Linked DNA regions of Anolis sagrei. The protein of the gene in region 2 interacts with the protein of the main gene of each other region in a pairwise test. Links are inferred from orthologs where the notes say so. Each region holds a gene or a part of one and is shown on either strand. Other genes may lie near its edges.

The links. The genes of interacting proteins can lie anywhere in the genome.
Region 1: the proteins of PSMC5 (region 2) and PDC interact in a two-hybrid assay, tested with the Homo sapiens proteins (2 studies listed by BioGRID). The link is inferred for Anolis sagrei from reciprocal best matches to the Homo sapiens genes PSMC5 and PDC.

What each region holds. Positions count from the first base shown.
Region 1 is NC_090024.1:120,520,768-120,528,553, reverse strand, and holds the start of PDC (phosducin), read right to left. Parts: upstream 3,109-7,786; 5' UTR 3,084-3,108; coding exon 2,970-3,083; intron 1-2,969. UniProt on the Homo sapiens protein: May participate in the regulation of visual phototransduction or in the integration of photoreceptor metabolism. Inhibits the transcriptional activation activity of the cone-rod homeobox CRX.
Region 2 is NC_090026.1:37,887,342-37,894,996, reverse strand, and holds the start of PSMC5 (26S proteasome regulatory subunit 8), read right to left. Parts: upstream 3,094-7,655; 5' UTR 3,053-3,093; coding exon 3,005-3,052; intron 1-3,004.

The DNA.
Region 1 (7,786 bases), on a different chromosome or scaffold from region 2:
GATCACATTCCAAAAATGGAAGCAGAACAAGTCATGTGGACATTTACCAAGGTGTTTAAAATTCTCTTCTATCAAGTTTTTTGATGCATCAATTATTATCCTAAATTTTCCATTGACCACTACAGTATGTGTGTGTGTGTGGGGGGGGGGGGGGGATATGTAAATTGTCCATAGCATCACTCCATAAATTCTTCCAGCAAGCAATAATAGTTTCTGGTATTTATTCATCCTTTGCAGCTTTGGTGAAAGTTAGTGTTTCATCAAATTTTAAGGATCTCCTGGACAGCATCAAGACTTCCATCAATTTCTTCTGCAATGTGCTCTAATATCAAACATAATATGCAGGATTGTTTCCTCCTCTCAAGTAGGAGCAGAGCCCCATAAGATCCTCTATACTTGTTGCCTCCACCAACTATTTTGAATCCACCTAAACACAATTTGGTAGCACAAATAAATATCACAAATAAATATCACAATAAATTCACAAATAAATATCTATAACATGTTTCTGTTTTATTTGGATTTTAGTTACAAATATCAAAAATTTACCAATATCAAAACTTGAGATGGAAGCCAAGATGATCAAAAAGAAGTAATCTCTCTTTGACTCAACTAGAGGTCATTTTAATTACCACGGAGGATGATATGCTTCTGTTCAGAGCTGCTGCTTATGATTTTGTAACATTCAAACTAATGTAGCTGTCCTTGCACAACAGATATAAACTAGGCCACAGCAAATCAGACTTTTACAAATAAAATCAAATAAAGACATACTGATTCTCCCAATTTACAAAATCAAACTGGCACGGCTGGAGGGTATGGAAATCTGTACAAACCCCAATAGCTTTTTACATTAATCATTGCAACATTAACTAGTTGAGACTACTTAGAACAGCATGAAGATGGGAAATGACAAGAAAAAAGGAAAAGCTGAGACAGAATTTTGTGATTTAGAAGCAGGGAAGGAAAAATATTCATTATTACTTATTTCCTAAGTAAGAACGAGGTTTCCAATGGTTGTGAAATCCTGTTGAGAGGAACAGTATACGGCAAGTCAGCCATGAGAATTTTTGCCCTTTAGCAAATATTTATCTGCACATAATTTTCTCTGATTTTTTTTCCTGTATGGAAAACATGTTTCTTGAAGAGGAAACAAAAAAATTGTTTCTGCACAAGTAACACATTTTCTGCACAGGAAATATATTTCCTGCACAAATACTGAAATGAAGATAGTAACTGAGAACTGTACCAAATTTTTCAGGTTTGTGTGAAAAATGTTCTCTATTGGAATTCACCCTTCTTGTCTGCAAAAATGAAGCCTATGAAAATTCACATCCTTGCTCGGGAGTAAATTTGGGCAGGGTTTATGACTTTGATTAATGGGCAAAGGTACAATCCATTGGTGGTTCATGGTCCAAACTGGCGGGTTAGGCTTTTTATCCCATTGTGTAAGATAAGATCCCTCACTACCTAAATCACAGACTAGTTATGATACAATCTTAAATTTAAGTTGTAACATCTTGGAGTTAGGCTTGGGTAACCACGGAAAAATTTGGTTCTAAACTCGTTTTGTTTTTAGGGGGCCCTTGCGTTTCGTTTTTTTTAATAATTCCGAAATTTTCCTTTTAAAATTTTTGAAATATACGAAATTTCATAAAATTACGAATCGATTCGTTAATGGCGGACGTGATTGCGCAATATGCTAAAAAAAACCTCCAAATGGGACAGGGGGAACTTCTGAAGCTTCCCTCTTCCTCTGTTGTTGACTGTTGGTGTGATAAAACAAACAACAACTATAAAACTTGCACCAGACATGCGAAAATAATTATGAAATAATTATGAAATAATTATGAAATAATTACAAAATAATTACAAAATAATTATGAAATAATTACAAAATAATTATGAAATAATTACAAAATAATTATGAAATAATTACAAAATAATTACGAAATAAATTGAAAAAATTGTTTCGAATCTAATTTACTCCTCACACTATTCCTGCATGGCTCAATATTGGATCGTAAGCTAATTTAAATACGAATTAATAACGAATTACGAAATTAACGAATGAAACCGCCCAAGCCTACTTGGAGTAAGTCCTGTGGAACCCAAGAAAGTATATGCCTGAGCAAACACATGAAATTGCCATTAATGATTCTTCAAGTTGGAAACAGAATATAGTTTACTGTCAAACTATCAGCGAGACTATTAAATTAAATATTATTTAATTGGCAAAGACACCAACCATTAATATAATTTTAGAACAGTGTGATTTTCTGTCAAGTAGGTGAGTTTTAAGTCCTTAATAAATGAGCACCCAAATAATACTCTGTAGTAAAAGAGAGAGGGAAAACTAATGTAAAGAAGAAAGTCTAGGTATGTTTCCACTTTCAGGAAGCTTTGCTTGCAAGCTCTGTTTGCTAGCGCAACAGAGGACAAAGTGGTGAACACAAATATATATATATATATATATATATATATATATATATATACCAGCTCCAACTGACACTGCTTTTAGAAAGCATGCAAGAAAGTGGGAGAAATCCAGTGCAACAAGACATAAAAGTAAGGCTCCTGTCACCACAACACTGCTAATTTGATCCCCATTGGATTGCACTGCCAGTTAACTTGTCAATCTTGACATCCTAAATGCATCTATTAAATAATGTAGTTTGTGAGAAGTTACTGTCATGGAATTCAATTTTGAACAAATCATAAGCATCATCTGTTTCTGTGAGGTGGTAGCTAAATTGCTTTATGTGAATGAGTTTTAGAGCCATCATTTTACTGAGATAAACACAATAAAAAACAGCAAAACATACATTGCTCCAAGCTACAGGGGGGAAAGATGATTTTAAGGATAGGACAAAATCATTTTTTTCCTTCTGAAATTATATAGCATTTTGCAAATTGATTGATATCACTAGAAATAAATAAAGAAGCAAGCAAAAAAGAGAGAAAGTTACCTTGTGAAAATTCAGATACTTAGCTTCCTGGGCACTCCACTTTTCCCAGAGTAACCAACAATGTCCTTGATTGGGTAAAGCTCGAGCAAATGTGAGTCCTTGGCTGATGTACATTTGAGGATAGATAAATCTGGATAGAGATTTAGGTCTTGGGATCATGATGACCCTGACAGAAATAGCTCTGGGCATGTAAGAGGATTACCATAAAGGAATTAGCCATTTTGTTAATTAGCCCAGGCCAATGAAATGCTAGGTTTCCCAGAGGTTTAAAGGATTTAATACATATATGTTATTGGGAAAGAAGACAGAAGAAAACTCCAAACCGGCCATGCATTGATACCTGATGGCACCTTGACGTTTTCAATAGAGGTAGATAGATAATTAGCAGAACATGAAACACCATCACTGTTACATCTGAAAGTATGAATGCACTAAAGTAGGAATTAAGCATACAGAGGCAGTCCCTGCATTACAAACAAGATAGGTTCTGTAGACTTGTTTTAAGTTGAATTTGCATGTAAGTTGGCACAGGTGCATTTTAGAGTAACTCCAGCCAGGTATATATCTACAGGCAGTCTCCAAGTTACAAACAAGTTAGGTTTTTTAAGGTTTGTTCTCAAATTGAATTTGCATATTAGATCAGGTACATTTTAAAGAGTAACTTTAAAGTAACCCACTTCTGCACAGGTTCTAGTCCCCACCCCCAACCCAAATCTTTCGGAGTTTTCGGAGCAGAGTCAAATCAGGAGTAAAATCAGGATAACATGAGGCCACCCCTTCATCACCCCATTCAGGTCTCCAAACTTGGCAGAGAGGCCTGCTGGCAGCATAGGCCTCTCCCTACAGTTCTCCTGGCATGAGAAAATAATGCATCCAAATGTTCCATTTTCTCACACCAGGAGGACTGTAGTGGGCACCATCCTGCTCCTCTGGGCTTTTTTAAGCCTGAAGAAGCGGGATGGTTGTGAGAACTTACCCCCAGTGTTGTGGAACGTGACCCCAGATGTCAGTCCCCACAATACTTCATTAGACCGGGGCCTTTCAGTAAGTTGTATAGCCTGTTGTGGGATCAAGTGCTTATGTTTTATAAGGTTGGTTTCAGAAAAAAAATTGTTTTGAAATAATCCTGTGTTATGTCAGTTAAAAGTCCAATTTAAAATATACTTTTGTGCAAAATGTGCCCACCTTGGCAGCAACCTACAATCCATGACAACTTTACTCCTTTTGGTGGAATGTTGCTTTGATTTTGAACATTTTACTGTTGGCAGTTTCTCAGTAACCTGGTCTCTGTGTAGGATAAAAACATATCAGCCATGTTGTTAACTTCATGGCATTCTTCCTCGTGAGTTGTTTTGCTATTCTAAGGTCTTAATTCAACTTTCAGAGACATCGTATTTAATCAAGAAACATTTGAATAACATTGGTAACTAAACAGACCCACTGAGATCAATTAGATTTAATTTAGTCCTGACTCATTTAAACCCCATTTATTTCAAGCGGTCTGCATTAAATATAATTTTATCTGGATCCAACTCATTCTAGGGTAGTATAGTGTCCAAAGGGAATCATGGTATAGAATATATAAACAACACTAGTGAATAGCTAAATTTCTTTTGCTACAGTTGGGAATGTGCCAATATGTAATATGGGATCTTATAGATGATCCCGCTAGCAGCCTGGCTGCTGTATTTTGGACCATCCGAATCTTCTGGGTTGTTGACTTCAGAAGGCCGGCATATAAGGCACAACGCAACCTCGTGGTGATTGTTACATGGATTACTGTCGCCAATGCTTCTACCGAAAGGTAGGATGCCAATTTCCTTGCCTGGCGAAGATGAAAAAGGGCCTGCTTACTTATGGCAGTGATCTGGGCCTGCATCGTCAGCGATGAGTCCAAAACAACCCCAAGGCTTTTAACAGTGGCAGACGGAACCAGAGCTTCCCCATCGAAATCAGGCAGAGACTGGATTAATTCTGGCGGCTGGCCAGGCCAGAGTATCTCAGTTTTAGCAGGATTCACTTTTAGTCTGTTCGCTCGCAGCCAACTCATCACTGCTTCCAAACACAGCCTAAAGTTCTCAGGAATCACGGTTGTCCCAGGTTCGAGACGCAAGAGTAGCTGGGTATCATCTGCATACTGGTAGCACTCTGTGCCAAAGCTCCGCACCAGTCCAGCAAGTGGCCGGACGTAGATGTTAAATAACAGGGGTGAAAGGATAGCACCCTGGGGAACTCCACCGCAAAGGCAGGAGCTCTCCGAGCTTTGGCCTAACCACTCCACCCTCTGTCTCCGGTCCCGGAGGAATGAATTGAACCATTTCAGGGCTAAACTTTGTACACCAGACATAGCCAATCGATGAATCAGCAAGTCATGGTCCACGGTGTCGAATGCAGCTGTGAGGTCCAAAAGTACCAATAGTGTTGATCTGCCTCGATCTAACTGACGACAAATTTCGTCAGGAATAACTACCAATACAGTCTCTGTCCCATGACTTGAACGAAAGCCTGATTGAAAGGGGTCCAAACCTGCAGTCTCATCAAGAATTGCTGTAGTTGCCCCGTCAGTGTCCGTTCAATCAACTTGCCCAAAAATGGAATGTTTGAAACTGGACGATAGTTACTAGGTATGGCGGCGTCTAGGCTTGGTTTTTTTCAAGAGAGGGTGGACCACTGCTTCTTTAAGGCAATCTGTAAAAATTCGTTGCTCCAAGGAACTATTGATGATGCTCCTTAAGGGATCTCGTAGTCCCTTCCAGCACTCCTTAACCAACCGGGAGGGGCAAGGATCCATGTTATTTTTTTGTCAATTTGACTCTCAATTTTTCCCAGGAACTGTCCATGGAGAGCCTTCTTTTGCCATTTTTCTCTTCCGCTCTGGATTGTGTTTTTATGGTATTCACTCTTTGTCTTTTGCACTTTAAGCAGTTTACTACTATTGACTTCCCTCAATGTTGGTTCTTGACTGCCTTTTACATAAGCTGCCAGTGCATGTTTCTCTTCTTCTGCCGTTTGTTTCACTTCTGATTTTCTGGGCAGGTAAAGTCTGTTGACATCACTATGCGGGTGTAATAAATAGTGGATTGTCATCAGTTTTCTTTTTTTTCTGTCTAGATCAGCGTTTCTCAACCTTGAGGCTCTATGAATGTCTCATAAAGCCTCAACCAATTCAACACATTTTGTGGCAGCCACAAAAACAAGGTTTCTGTAATATATCACTACTTTCAAAGTAAGTACTGTACAATTAAACAAGAATAACACTTTCAAACCAGGAACCCCCCACCCACCAAATTTTGTTACCTATAATGTTATGGCAGGGGTCCTCAAACTATGGCCCAGGGGCCGGATACGGCCCTCCAAGGTCATTTACTCGGCCCGCGCTCAGGGTCAACCTAAGTCTGAAACGACTTGAAAGCACACAACAACAACAACAATCCTATCTCATCAGCCAAAACCAGGCCCACAATTCCCACTGCAATACTAATAAGTTTATATTTGTTAAAAATGCTCTTCATTTTAATTATTGTATTGTTTTTGTGTGTTTTTTGCACTACAAATAAGATATGTGCGGTGTGCATTGGAATTCATTCTTTTTTTTCTTCAAATTATAATCCGGCCATCCAACAGTTTGAGGGTCTGTGGCCTGGCCCTCTGTTTAAAAAGTTTGAGGACCCCTGTATTATGGTATCTTCTAGAGTGGCTGCTTCCTTGTTTGTCTGCCTGCAGGTGATGCTCTCAGCCTTTGAGAATCTGCATTCAAGGATTGAGTGATATTGCCATTTCTATTTCTTGTGGATAAAAATTTATCAAAATACATGTTTCTTCATATTTCAGCTGAACAGAATATGAGATTAAAACCAATTGAATATGGGAGATGGACAGATTAGTTAATCCAGAACCAGAGGTTAGTGTACTTAACTCTTAATAGTCTTGATTTGAATTACTATATATTCAGTCATGTAAGTGATGAACTACTTCTTTCTCAACCCCCCTCTCTTTTTTCCCTGTTTGGATCCTTCAACATGGAGACTATCTGCATAATGGAAATACTTGTATCCATTGCTTTAAGCAGGTGCCAGCAGAAGAAGAATTTTGTTTCATTTCCTGTGCTTTGAAATAACCACATTTTCCTCTAAACTGGCCAGAACTCTTTGGGAGTATTCCAGCACTAAATGCCACAGCTAAAATTGTAATTCAGACAAATACTGCAAATTACAGTTCTTGGCAGAATTGGTTATAGTACTTCACTAACATATTCACCTCTCTTAAATTTTACAGCAAGCATCTCTGAAAAGAAAACTAAAATGTAGTCTTATTGTCGGACTAGACTGAATTCACTTGAAGCGCATAAACATGCTCAAACTCAATTCAACTTCCCCCACAGAGCCCTGCCAGCATAATTTGATGGGGGCTGGTGGGCTCCATGGGTGAAATAGGGCGGAGCCGGTGCATGTCGCCAAAGAGTGCCCTTTGTGATGAGGTTGTTAAATGCTTGGGACCAACACCTGTATCTGCATATATAGACATAGTCAGCACATCTAAACATAAATTTCATTTATATTTTATATATGCCTTATAGCAGATCCAGAATCCTGCCCTTGTTTTGCTTTCCCCTATCAAAATTTGACAGTGGTACAAAGAGTTCCTTGAGGCAAACTCAGTGAGTGTGTAGCTAGACTCTATCCCCCAATTAGTATATATCTGCAAATACACGTATTCTAACCTCATATGCCTACAATTTGAATTCCAAAAATCTCTGGTCTCAAACATTTTGGATAAGGGATATTTATCCTGTATTTGCTGTTACACTTTCAGTTGGA
Region 2 (7,655 bases):
TGTATGTAAGTTGGAACAGGTAATTTTTTAAGTGTATGCCTGCTTTGGATAGAGTAGGTCAGGATTAACACCCCTATGGAGTTTGCTTTGTTGTCTGTTTCCATGTTCAAAAGGTTTCACCTCACTTTCTGTACCTGTGATATTTCTATCCTATACTATCCTATACTGCCAATAATCCACTCCTTTGGACTTCACACAAATTTACCATTGGCTAAAATATACAGTTCTGTTCATTTCCATTTCTGCCCAAATAGCTTAAACATCGAGTATGAAAAAACTGTATTGTTGTAGAAACAACGATTGGCGATAAAACTGCGGTGGAAACCCCTTTTCCCCAAGATCACACTTCCAAGAGTGAATTTCCCTCCAGAAAGGTAGATTTCTCCCATTTCCAGTTGTCTCACCCCTGTTCTTAACCATGAGTCATTTGTAACTCGGGGACTGTCTGTAATAAAGTGAAGGCAGTAGGAAAAGTGGAAGGGCTCTTCCACACAGCCCGATATCCCAGAATATCAAGGCAGAAAAACTCCACAATATCTGCTTTGGACTGGGTTATCTGTGCCCACACTGCCATATATTCCTGTTCAAAGCAGAAAATTGTGGGATTTTATTCAGCTGTGTGGAAGGGGCCAAAGACCACATTCTAGATCAGTGATTCTCAACTGGTCCCCAGGTGTTTTGGCCTACAACTCCCAGAAATCCCTGCCAGTTTACCAGCTGATAGGATTTCTGGGAGTTGAAGGCCAAAACATCTCTGGACTGACAGGTTGAGAACCACTGTTATAGATGGAAGGACTCAATCATGAAACTCGAGGCCCTGAGTTTGCAAGACCCGAGGATATGGTAACTTGAACGGTCTCTTTTTCACAGAGTTCCCATAAGATGAGGGCGATCTGACAGTGGTAATAATAATAATAAGAAAAAGAAGAAGAAGAAATAATAATAATAATAATAATAATAATACTCAGTTCTTGTGGGGTTTTTCGGGCTATATGGCCAAAAAAAAACGCCATATAGCCCGAAAAACCCCACAAGAACTGAGTGATTCCGGCCATGAAAGCCTTCGACAATAATAATAATAATTTTATTTATACCAATGGTCGACACCCAGGCTGTTAACTGGCGCTCCTTACAGAGAGAGGTCAACCCTCCTGTTTAAGGAGCTCCACTGGCTGCCATTCATCTTCCGGTCCCAATTCAAGGTTCAGGTGATCACCTACAAAGCCCTAAACGGTTTTGGACCCGCCTACCTGCGTGACCGCATCTCCATATATGAACCCACACGTTCCCTTCGATCATCTGGAGAGGCCCTGCTCACAATCCCACCTGCGTCACAAGCGCGTTTGGTGGGGACGAAGGACAGGGCCTTCTCTGTGGTGGCCCCCCGACTCTGGAACTCTCTCCCCAAGGACATCAGACAAGCCCCAATGTTGGTAATCTTTAGGAAGAGCCTGAAGACCTGGCTGTTCCAGTGTGCCTTTCCAGATTAGGAAACTCCCAGCATCATGTCCCAAATGCAATTTGTTAGAGACCAGGATTGTCTGCACATTGCACCTACCTCTAAAAAACCTCTACATATCACCTGTCAAGTTCAGCACTTTTAAATTTTGTCCATTACATTTGGCCCAGCTTTTAGGTTTTAAATACGTCATGGTGTCATTGTTTTATTGATTTTGCTTGATTTTTATTATTTGCTTATGAGTTTTACTGTTATATTTGTATGTTGTTGTTGGCGGCCTTGGCCTTTGTAAGCCGCATCGAGTCCTTCGGGAGATTTGGCGGGGTATAAATAAAGTTAATAATAATAATAATACCCTGCCACCATCTCCCCAAGGGGACTCGGGGCGACTTACATGAGGCCAAACCCAACAACACATCAGTAAAACAACAAAGCAGCATGCAAATAAAACAGTACAATTAATATAACTCACATAGAAGCAGTAACACACAAAAATTTAAAACCTATGTCCATGCCAGATGTAACAGACTAAAATTTCACAATAAACACTGGGCGCGAACAGAGGCAGGATGTATCTAAGCAGGAGGGTTTTAAAGAATAATGTAGGGAGATCAACCCAATGGGTAGTTAAAGTGCTTCTGAGGATATTTTCAGGGAACTGGTCAGAGCAGGGCATTGTTTCCTTTATTCAGGGAAGGCACACTGGAACAGTGACCTTTTCCAGTGACCTGGCAGCCCACATCTTTTCTATTTGTCTTACTGTGTGCCTTCAAGTCATTTCTGGCTTATGCCAATTTTTGACATACAAACATATACAGACATACACAGAGGCTATTTAACTTTTTTTTTCTGGCCGCCAGGGGAGCTGTCGCTTTCATTGTCCATCTGCAACGCTGATGAAGCACTTCCGCATTCCCCACATGCTTCCCCGCTGGAATGCTTTTTGCTGGAGTCTTCTTTATGGCCTCATAAATCAGTTAATTTAGCCTCCCCACACTTTTTAAAGGTGGTACCTAATTTTCCTACAGATGCAACTGTCTTTCGGGTTGCAAAGGTCGACAACAGGCTACACACAATTGGTTGGAAACCCACTCCAACCCGGGCTGGCTTTCAAGAGGCTTTCTTGGAGAGAATTAGCCAAAGATGGGTTTGTCTTGGCCTTTCTATGAGGCTGAGAGAGTGTGCCTCATCTAAGGATTTCCTTGCTGGGATTCGAACACAGGCTTCCCAGGCTCATCTATATTGCATAATTACCAGTTTGACACCACTTTAACCACTTCAATGCTATGGAACCTTGGGAGCTGTAGTTTTACAAGGTCTTTAGTCCATTCCACTGGTTCCTCAATCAACTATAACGCCCAGGAATCAATGGCATTGAGTCATGTCATCACCCAAACCATTACTGTTTTTAAATGAAAGCTTTATAGCAATCCATCCTTCCCCAGACAATAAAGTCCAGCCACCAAATACAGTCAAATATGATTTGATGCCCTTCTCCCACCATCCAGATGAGGAATGACTAAGCAGCTCTAAGGATCTCCTTACCTGCTCGGGCCCTTCCACCGCCATTTTCCCCTTCGCCGGCATCCACATTCCCACAACTGCGCATGCGCGGCGCCAACTTCCTGTCTTTTTCCTGCCCTTAACCAATATGGCAGATACAAGGCATTGAAAAGGGCAAATTGTTTCAATGTAGCTTCCTCTTTAGGGAAATGCCTCACCAACACTGCTCGCCCCTACACTTCCGATTCCCGATTAGACGCTCCAGAGTATCTCAGGCCCCATCTACACTGCCATGTAATGTAGTCAGTGAAGACTTCTTCCAACCAACTGATCCCTAATCCATCTAAACTGATCCCTAACCCATCTAAAACACAGACATGCGCCTTTCACCTTAAGAACAGACAAGCACCCCGAGCTCTGAGGATTACCTGGGAAGGGATCCCACTGGAGCATTGCAGCACACCCAAATACCTGGGAGTCACTTTGGACCGTGCTCTGACCTACAAGAAGCACTGCCTGAACATCAAGCAAAAAGTGGGCGCTAGAAACAACATCATACGAAAGCTGACTGGCACAACCTGGGGATCACAACCAGACAAAGTGAAGTAGCCCTTGCACTTTGCTACTCTGCTGCTGAGTATGCATGCCCAGTGTGGAACACATCACATCACACTAAAACAGTGGATGTGGCTCTTAATGAGACATGCCGCATTATCACAGGGTGTCTGCGCCCCACACCACTGGAGACATTACACTGCTTAGCCGGTATTGCACCACCTGACATCCGCCGGAAAGTAGCAGCCAATAGTGAAAGGACCAAGGCAGAGACATCTCCAGCTCATCCCCTGTTTGGGTATCAGCCAGCACGTCAACGACTTAAATCAAGACATAGTTTTCTTAGATCTACAGAGACACTCGCTGGAACACCCCAGCAAGCGAGAGTCCAAAAGTGGCAGGCCCAAACCCAGCACCTCAATCCATGGGTGATATCAGATGAGAGACTCCCCCCTGAGCACACAGAAGACTGGGCGACTTGGAAGGCGCTGAACAGTCTGTGCTCTGGCACCACAAGATGCAGAGCCAATCTTAAGAAATGGGGCTACAGGGTGGAATCCTCGGCATGCGAGTGCGGAGAAGAACAAACCACTGACCACCTGCTGCAATGCACCCCGAGCCCTGCCACGTGCACAATGGAGGACCTTCTTGTGGCAACACCAGAGGCACTCCAAGTGGCCAGATACTGGTCAAAGGACATTTAACCAACTACCAAGTTTGCAAAATCTGTGTGTGTTTTTTTTCTTTTTAATCTGTGTGTTTGTTTTGTTCTGTTAGAATTGTAACACAATGGTATAGTTGCTGATGACACGATAAATAAATAGTGAAGACTTATATAATGCAATTCAATGCAAGTGGTATTATAGGGTAGTGTAGATGAGCCGAACAAAAAGAAAGGGTGGAGAAAGCGGAGAAGAAGAAGAAAAACCCCTCCTGCTACTTTTAACTTACATATTTTAGTATAAGTTCTTGGAGATTGTGTGCGATTCTACACAGCACAATTATAGAAGTTTGATATAATTTCAACAGCAATAGTATAGTGGAAGTTGCTTCTGGTGTGAGAGAATCAGACATTGCCCAGGGGATGCCCGGATGTGTTGCTATCAATTTGCTTCTGAAACAATCAATAAATAACAGCAATATTATATTGACTTTTTTTTCTAGTTGAATGTAAAAAGAAAAAAGAAAAAGAGAAAAAATATAGAAAGTATGTGTTTTCACATGGAAAGTGGGGGAACAATGCACTGATAGGATAGTAGAAAAGAAGAAAAGAGAGAGAAAAGAAAATATTATATATATAAATCTAAAGGTAGAATAAAAAGAAAAAAAGTGTGATTTTGATTTCCATTCTTGTTCATAGCAGTTCTTCATTTTTATTATTATTTGTGTGTGTGTGTATTATTAACCTTTCTCTCTTTTTATAGAGTGGCATCTTTCTTTTTTCTGTCCCTTGATTATGATTTTTTTCCCAATCCATCTCATTCATCTTGCAATTCTTTTGAAAGATATATTTACTTAATTTATTTCTTTACAAAGGGGATTCAGAGCAGCTTACAAGAGATATATACATACAATATATTATATTATTAGCATAGTAAACATCAGTATTAAATATTACTATATTGTACTATACCGTTATATTGTAACATTATTAGTAATATTACATAAATATATATATTATTTACGATTTTGTTTTATTTACGAAAGTTATCACAGGGGAGAGGCGGATGAGAGAAGCCTCCCACACGGATGATAAAAACATCAAATCATCCTGGCATCCCCTGGGCAACGTCCTTGCAGGCGGCCAATTCTCTCACACCAGAAGCAACTTGCAGTTTCTTAAGTCGCTCCTGACACGACAAAAAGAAAAAAAACAACAACAGGGAGATATATATATATATATATATATATATATAGTATTGTTGAAGGCTTTCATGGCTGGAATCACTGGGTTGTTGTCGGTTTTTCGGTCTATAAGCTATATGGCCAAGTTCTAGAAGCATTATCTCCTGACCTTTCACCTGCATCTATGGCAATCATCCTCAGAGGAGTGGGGTGTGTATGTGTGTGTATCTGGCGAGCACTACAGTCACAAAGAATACCAGAAGACTATGTAACATGGATAAAGCTACTATACAATAATACAAGTATGGTCCGCTGTCCTGAGGAGATTTCACCACCCTTCAACATCACTGTTAGCATGCATCAGGGATCAGTACTCTCACCATTACTATTCATACTCTGCATTGATACTGCTACAGCAGATTTGCAGACTATGCATCCCTAGACAATCCTATATGCAGATAACATAGCACTCAGCCACCAAAAGCGTGCAGCCCTCCAACGACAGCAGCAGACATTCAGTGATAGTGAATATTGACTTCAACTGAACATACCCAAAACACAGTATCTGGAATGTGGCCTTCAAACTGGAAAAACAAGTCTCCAGACCCTTGATCATTTTAGGCGCCCTCCTCTGGACACATTTTCTTAGGCATGGAATCATCTGCTGCTTCCTCTGAAATGTAGCCTTCAACTCCCGGTATTCCTTGTATTCTTGTCTCCTGGATATGTCATCAGTTGGAGACCCCTCTCCCCCCCCCCCCCCCCACCAACCGCCGCTAGGAGTGAGTACAAAGGAGGCCAGGGGACAGTTCCATCTTGTCTCCTGCATATGTCATCAGTTGGAGACCCCTCCCCCCAGCATCAACCACTGCTCTGAGCCAGAGTGAAGACAGAGGAGGCCAGGGGACAGTTCCACCTTGTCTCCTGTGCTATGCTAATCTATATAAATAAAAATGTAATGTTAGTTCGTGCTACCATCAGAACTCAAAAACCACTGGGGGAATTGACATCAAATTTGGACACAAGACACCTAACAGTCCAATTTATGTCCTCCACTAAAAAAAATATATGATTTTGTCATTTGGGAATTGTTGTTGCTGGGATTTATAGTTTACCTACAATCAAAGAGCATTCTGAACTCCACCAATGATGGAATTCAACCAAACATGGCATACAGGACTTCCATGACCAACAGAACACACTGGAAGGGTTTGGTGGGCATTGACCTTTAGTTTGGGAATTATAGTTCACCCACATCCAGAGAGCACTGTGGACTCAAACAATGATGGATCTGGACCAAACTTGGCACGAATATTCCATATGCCTAAATATGAACACAGATGGAGTTTGGAGGAAATAGACCTTGACATTTGGGATTTGTAGTTACTGGGATTTATAGTTCACTACAATTAAAGAGCATTCTGGAACCCACAAACGACAGAAATGGGGCAAACTTCCCACACAGAACCCCCATGACCAACAGAAAATACTTTAGGCCAGTGGTTCTCAACCTGGGGTCCCCAGATGTTTTTCCTACAACCCCCAGAAATCCTAGCCAGTTTACCAGCTGTTAGGATTTATGGGAATTGAAGGCCAAAAACATCTGGGGACCCCAGGTTGAGAACCACTGCTTTAGGCCATCCAGTCCAACTCTCTTCACCAGGGCAAGAAAATGTAATCAGAGTCCTCCTGACAAAGAGCCATCCAGTCATAAATATAGATAGATAGATATGATTCTCTCTCTCACACACAGATATAGTATCATAGATTTGAAAGAGACCCTTAAAGAAGGACTATGATATGTTGCATATTCTAGAGTAGGCAAACCAGACACTCTCCACATCAACACTGACAAAGAAACAACAAGAAATACTGTTTACTCACAAGCATAAAGGAATTACATATATTAGAAACCAACACTTTCTCATTTCTTTATTTTCCAGATCACCAGGCTGGGCCACAGCAACGCATGGCAGGGGACAGCTAGTATATAATATAATATGATATAATATATTGTATATACATATAATATTTATAATATTATAATGTAATACAGTATAATACTAATAATAATGATATGATATTAGAATTATATATTTTATATTACATGTGCTATTACTAATAATATTACAATATAATTGTATAGTACAATATAGTGATGTATAGCACTGATATTGTACTGTGCTAATGGTATAATGCAGGGGTCCTCAAACTTTTTAAACAGAGGACTAAGTCACAGTCCCTCAAACTGTTGGAGGGTTGGACTATAATTTGAAAAAACATGAATTCCTAT